Macaca fascicularis: one gene and its partner. The protein of the gene in region 2 purifies or fractionates together with the protein of the main gene of each other region. This does not show direct contact. Links are inferred from orthologs where the notes say so. Each region holds a gene or a part of one and is shown on either strand. Other genes may lie near its edges.

What was found. Proteins that work in one complex are often made in the same cells at the same time.
Region 1: the proteins of UTRN (region 2) and DTNA purify together in Homo sapiens (affinity purification with mass spectrometry; 3 studies listed by BioGRID and IntAct, with this or other methods). This does not show direct contact. The link is inferred for Macaca fascicularis from reciprocal best matches to the Homo sapiens genes UTRN and DTNA.

Annotation. Positions count from the first base shown.
Region 1 is NC_088392.1:54,951,756-54,955,275, reverse strand, and holds part of DTNA (dystrobrevin alpha), read left to right. Parts: intron 1-42; coding exon 43-211; intron 212-1,128; exon of another isoform or gene 1,129-1,238; intron 1,239-2,528; coding exon 2,529-2,661; intron 2,662-3,520. UniProt on the Homo sapiens protein: May be involved in the formation and stability of synapses as well as being involved in the clustering of nicotinic acetylcholine receptors.
Region 2 is NC_088378.1:48,724,571-48,728,090, reverse strand, and holds part of UTRN (utrophin), read right to left. Parts: intron 1,099-3,520; coding exon 970-1,098; intron 354-969; coding exon 183-353; intron 1-182.

The sequences.
Region 1 (3,520 bases), on a different chromosome or scaffold from region 2:
ATCTAACAAGTCACTCTTTATTTCTTCAATTGTATCTGCCAGAGGTTGGGAGTGAAACAGAGAGTAATGTGGATTCTGAATTTGCACGGACTCAGTTTGAGGATCTTGTTCCCTCACCAACCTCTGAAAAGGCTTTTCTAGCGCAAATCCATGCTCGAAAACCTGGGTATATTCACAGTGGAGCTACCACAAGTACCATGCGTGGCGACATGTGAGTATCTTCCGCTTGGAGGCATTTTCTCAGTAACAAAACAATCCGTAGGAGGCAATAAGAATGTAAAAGCATAATTGTTTAGGGTTTTTTTTTAACCTTCAAAAGGGGTGACATAGTTTTCTTTTCTGCCAGAGATACAGAATGGTGCTACATATAAATTCGGCATTGTAATATCTCCCCTCTTACAATTTCCAGAGAGTTATCAATAACCTAAACCAACCAGTGCCTATCAAGAGCCTGCCTTGCCCAAGGCACAGTGCTAGTTCTATACAAAATAGTATTAAAAAACTGCTGCCACCCTTTTAGGACTCAGACTACTTCAGGAGATAAATCATCCTATCTTCTGAACTTATTGTATTTGCACTTAGAGGATACCATGACATTGGAGAGGTCTCTGTTCAGAATTGGTGTAAACAACATCATATAAGTATTTGGAATTGAAATAAGTACATGTATAAAATCTCATTATAAAGAAATCCAGTTTGGTTGACTTGTTGAATATGTATACATCTGACCCTCTAAAGACTTATTTGCGAAAGTTTCCACCCAGTTCTGGAGCTTGTCAGAAACCAGCAGCATCAGTGACGTCCTGTGACCACTAGACTTTCTGTGACCCTGGATCAGCTCAAAGTAGTCAGCAGAGAAAACCAAAGCTGAGAAACAAAGGCAAAGCTGGGACAGAGCTGCAGAGCCCAACTTGGGAGGGAAAGGAGGAAAACAAAAGAAGGGAAGAAAGTGGCCCGTTAGGAGACCATGGTTCGTGGAGTTACGGGAAACGTGGGCAAAAGCTGGGGGAGGGAGCGTCTGAACGCTAAAAATACTACAGAAGGGTGGTGTTGCTTAATACGAAAAGTACTTCAGACTAGTGTATAAAAATAAACTGGCCATGTTAAAGACTCAGAGAAGAAACTAACCTGAGGCCTTTCTGGTGTCTGGCTCCCAATCCCAGCAGTGAATAAACGATCAGTAATCATGGAGAATTATCAAGAGCTGTGGTCTGAGAGTCAGCTGTGAAGCAGCAGAGAATAGGATCAAAACAAAACCATTATAATGGGACTTAACATGGCAGTACGCTGCTGCTTAATAGAGTTTGCTTTCTTGTCCTTTCTTCTGTATTCTAGAATTGTTGGATTTGTTATTCAAAATAGTGAATTAGTTGTCATCTGTTTTGTCTGGTAAATGCATATCTATTTGACTTTTTATTATTAAGCATTTATATGGCAGTTAGCTAGAATTTCCTTGTCCCAATTCTAAAGGCCAAGGCTGTTGGGGCCACCCTAATCTGCTAGCCCTGGTACGCTGAGTGGCAGTACCAGCTACCAACATGTGACTCAGGAGTTAGGGAAGGAAAGTTAACAGAGGCCTAGGCAGACCCATTTAGGCTGGCCCCAAACCTCCAAAAATAACCAGAACAAGTTGTACAGCTATAAATAAACATGAACAACGACGTTCAAGTTCCAGCCTAGAAACTTCTTCTTGACCACTTATTTCATTTTAGGGAATAATTTAATATCTCTATTGTCTAAACATGTCCTTGTGTCTTACCCTGAGAATCTTTTAGTCCTCTGATTTAGGTAGCAAGCTTACGTCCAGCCCCATGAAGAGCTTTGCATAGTCTAGGATGAATAGATGGAGACAGAGTCCCACATCAGGGAATGAAGTCATTTTTAACTATTTCAGAGTGGAATTAGATAATTAAAATGCTTTTTCTTTTTCATATTTAGAGCTAAGATCAAGAGTTATGGGTTAGTAGCCCTCCTGGCATCGACTAGCTGATGTTCTTAGACTTAATTCTGTAAAAATAAGGCATGAATGTGGTGTGCATTCATATGTGTATGTGCATGTGTGGGTAACACAAAAGAGACTAAATTAAAACCAAATGTCCTTAAGCATTACTTCACTAGAGGGCTCACTCTCCATACAGAAAGTGATCTTGGGTTCTATTTTGAAGAAGAATAAAAAGAGCCCTCTGATTGGGAAAACTTTGTATCCCCTCAAAAGATGTTTGCCATTTTTTAAATTATAGAACATTTAAAGGGCCAACCCATTTCAGTAAACCCTAGGAAAAAGAGAGATGACCTATGACCACAACTGCCATAAAAAAATTGTGTATGCAAATACCTTGATCATATATTGCTTCCAACCTCCAAAATGTTTCCAAGTTTTTCTTTAGGTATTACTAAAGAAGACATGAAAGTGACTTGGAGAACTAAGGAGAAATAAAGGTGCCAATAAACTACAGCTCACACACGAATCCCACTTGTAATTCTCTTTTAAGATTCACTCTAAAATGTCATCTGTGGTTTCTTCTCAGGGTTACGGAGGATGCAGATCCCTATGTGCGGCCTGAGGATGAAAACTACGAAAATGACTCTGTCCGGCAGCTGGAGAATGAGCTCAAGATGGAGGAATACCTGAAACAGAAGCTGCAGGATGAAGCCTATCAGGTACCGGGATCCAGGCCCACCCACCCCACCTCTTCTGCCTCAACCCCTTGGTAGCTGGGTCTTTGACATGACTTGCAGAATCAGGGCCTTCTCCTTCCTTCCACCCTCCCTTTCCAAAATATGCTGATTTTACTCCTTAATCCATGTCTTCTAGACAGTACAAATATTAAATGCTTCTTTTTTTTTTTTTTTTTTTTTTTTTTTGAGACAGAGTTTCACTCTGTCACCCAGGCTGGAGTGCAGTGGTGTGATCTTGGCTCACTGCAACCTCTGCCTCCCTGGTTTAAGCAATTCTCCTGCCTCAGCCTCCCCAGTTGCTGGGACTACAGGTGCACATCACTACGCCCAGCTAATTTCTGTATTTTTAGTAGAGACGAGGTTTCACCATATTGGCCAGGCTGGTCTCGAACTCCTGACCTCGTGATCCGCCCACCTCAGCCTTCCAAAGTGCTGGGATTACAAGTGTGAGCCACTGCACCCACTTCTTATAACTGTCACTCACCATGTATTCTTTTAAATTCCGCCATAGAAAGTGATAAGTGGCCTTCTTATATTGGAAAATAACATGGTAACTAACAGTCCAAACTCTTTCAGGCCCATTAAGAAAGATGCTTTTTCTCATAATTATTTTTAAATGGATGCAAAGAGCAGGGCACAAGAAAATTGAATAATCATAAACCCATCACCTCCCTTGAATTATTTGCCCTCAGCCTTCCTCATTGCCCACCTCATGCCAAGTGTAAGTAGGAGAATGGCAAACCTCATGGAGAAATGTTGGGGGAACTGCAGGCCTGTGTTCAGCAAGGTGTGGACGGACAGATTTTCAGATGTACTGGAGTATGTTAGCCACCTGAAAATT
Region 2 (3,520 bases):
TGTGCCTAGAAGGCGGGGGTTACAGTGAGATCATGCCACTGCACTCCAGCCTGGGTGACAGAGCGAGAAAACAATAAAATTAAAATAATAAAATAAAAATTGTTTATGTATATACTGTATGACTATCATTTAGATACATACCCATAGGAAAAATGGTTTACCCTAAAAACATAATTACTCACTTTGGCACTTTTGATATGTTGGGACACCTTTTCAAAGTTCCTATTCAGCTCAGCTAACTTTGGTTCTACAAGCTCCCTGCTTGAGCTTCCACGGGCATTCATCAAAATAAGGGCTTGATCGCGGACATTTTCAACCTGGAGGTTAGCATCATCCAGCTCAGATACTAAACGCTAATTATAAGAAAACACAAAATTATCTCATGGGAAAAATCAAACCCAAACATGAGTGTGATGCTTTTACAGAATGAAAGGTAGTTTAAATAAATATCTGGGATCCCCAGTAAGAGATTTCAGCATAATCAACCAGGCAAGAGCTGTTCACATAGGGCTCATTGGAGAACACAGAGGTAAGCAACTCTCATTGGAGAATACAGAGGTAAGACTCGCTGGAGAATATAGAAGTATGTAAGACATATTGGAGAGTACAGAAGTAAGACAGACTCATTGGAGAATACAAAAGTAAGTAAGGGTCACTGGAGAATACAGAAGTAAGCAGCACTCAGTGGAGAATGCAGAAGTAAGCAAGACTCATTGGCATCTTATGTGCATAGCTTTTACTCTTGTTGATTGTGCTGAAGTCTCTTACTAGTCTTTCGATTTCAATTCAAGTTTGTCTCTTATTGAGTTTGTCTCTTATTGTCTCAGTTTCTCCCATCAAAATAAATGTTAATGAATCTAACGCTTGGGAGGAATAAGAGCATAAGTAACTTAGAGCATTCCACAAGAGAAAACATGACAACAAAACATTCCACCCCAAAAGTGTTACTGATGTCTCTATGTTTGCCACCTTTACAATTTCTTCCCGTTTACTTGCTGGTTTCTTTTCAATTTCATCCAATAGAGCTTCAGCTTGATACAGCCAGGTACTTATGTGGGCCACATTTCCATCAAATATTTCTAGCTGGTTCTGATGGTTCTACAAAGGAATTAATAAAATGCTTACATAACCATATGAAATATTTAAGATGATAATCTTAAAAGAGATTTAAAAGACCTTCAAAGAGCAAACTGTATCATGAATTTAAAGAAAAGCTTTCACCTTCCTGCAGAGCTCTTCTTCAGTGAATAAATCTCATTCCTAAAAATGCACATCTATGCTGCTTAACACTTCTTAAATTTATCTGATTTAGACCTCAGCACAATAAAAAGTTGAAGTAGAATAAAAGTTGAAAGTTTTTTTTTTCAATTTCAATGCAAGTTCATCTCTTATTACTCATTCTTATATTACAACTGATCTGATTTGCCCTCCTCAATCTTTTTTTTTTTTTTTTTTTAAGATGGAATCTTGCTCTGTTGCCAGGCTGCAGTACAGTGGTGCAATCTGTGCAATCTCGACTCATTGCAATCTCCGCCTCCCGGGTTCAAGCGATTCTCCTGCCTCAGCCTCCTGAGTAGCTAGGACTGCAGGTGTGCACCACCACCCCCTGCTAATTTTTAGTATTTTTAGTAGAGACAGGGTTTCACTATGTTGGCCAAGATAGTCTTGATCTCTTGACCTCGTGATCCACCCACCTCAGCCTCCCAAAGTGCTGGGATGACAGGTGTGCACCCGCACCTGGCCCATATTTTTTAAACACTCACTTACTGAATAATTTTTTTAAATGATGAAAATATGAATTGAAAAAAAGATGCTGTATGCTCTGCTTAAAGGACAGTGCCTTTGTCTCCTTACCTCTATATCACCAGCCCTTAATATTACATCTGGCATAGACCACAGCAAGATGTCCTGAAGCAGGACATGAAACGTGCTTGACAGAACAGATTTGAAAACGGAAGCAACAGTTAAGCAGATTATGACTGGGAAAAGCAGTCCCTTCTTGGGACTAAGGCAAGAAGTTAGAGTGTGACCGAAAAGGGTAAGGAGGCTTATGATAAAATTAACATTTAGCAATTATATGTTGTGGGATAAAAGAAACTGGAAAATGCTTAGACAGTAAAAATTTTTACAAAGAAAGAAATTATTAATCTATAATATGAAAAATAGTTGAAAAAGAAAATGTCGGCTGGGTATGGTGGCTCACGCCTGTAATCCAGTACTTTGGGAGGGCCCGATGGGAGGATCACTTGACCTCAGGAATTCAAGACCAGCCTGGACAACATGGTGAAACCCCATCTCTAAAAACAAATATAAAAATTAGCCAGGTGTGGTGGCGCATGCCTGTAGTCCCACCTACTCGCAAGGCTGAGGTGGAAGGATCACCTGAGCCTGGGGAGGTAGAGGTTGCAGTGACCTGTGATCATACCACTGCACTCCAGCATGGGTGACAGAGTGACAGCCAGCCTCAAAAAAAAAAAAAAAAAAAAAAAAAAGTGAACAAATAAGAGACATAAAAATAAAAGAAAACAAACTTGCACTTGTGCCCCTGAATTTAAAATAAACATTAAAAAAAAGAATGTGAACTAATAAATGATATGAGAAAATATCAACAGTGATCTGGATCCTAAGTAGGAAGAACTGATGAGCACCAGACTTGTTTACCCCTTTCAAGCAGGTAAATCAAATGTTCTAACAGCGTTAGAAAGATACTGCTTGAATGGAGAGTTTGAAAGGTATAGACAGAAGAATACAGAAATCAGGGCCATGAGAATGTGAAATAAAGCTAGTAATTAAAAATTAATATATAAAATATTTAATGAGCATATTCTATGAGCCAAGAATCTCATATTCACTATTATATTCTCTGTTAGGTATATACTTTTGTTCTCATTCTCTATATATGGAAATTTCAGCTTAGTAACATTAAGTAACTTAGCTAAGGTTAAACAGCTAATAAGTCAAGGACTGTGGATATAAATCTGTTAGAGATCAAGAGCAAAGTCCATGGCTCTTCACTGCCCTACACATCCTGATGAATTTAAATAAATATTCAAACACACAATAATGTATGCTTGTTGTCTCTATCCATTACCTAGTAATTCTATAAATTTGATAAAAGTCCTATCTCAGGTATTTCAGAATTAAAAATATATATTTTTAATTATATATATTTTATTAGAATTTCAGAATTAAAAAATTTATATATAAATGACAATGCCTTCCTCAGCAGGGGAGGGTGGGGTGGCCATATATTCACAGTTAGTATCATAGGAACGTAAAACCACTATAAAAATTAAATGATAACTATTTCCATGAGATAATTTACAGAGTAGTGGCATAACCAAAGACTAACACATATACAATATTTAATAATTATAAATATAGCAAAATCTAAAATTGGTTGTTTTGGTTATTTAATTGGTTATTTAAGAGCACTACATGTTTAAGGCTTATAATTAATCATTGCAAAACTGTCTGAGACAGATATAATAATGTCCATTTTACAAATTAAACAATTGAG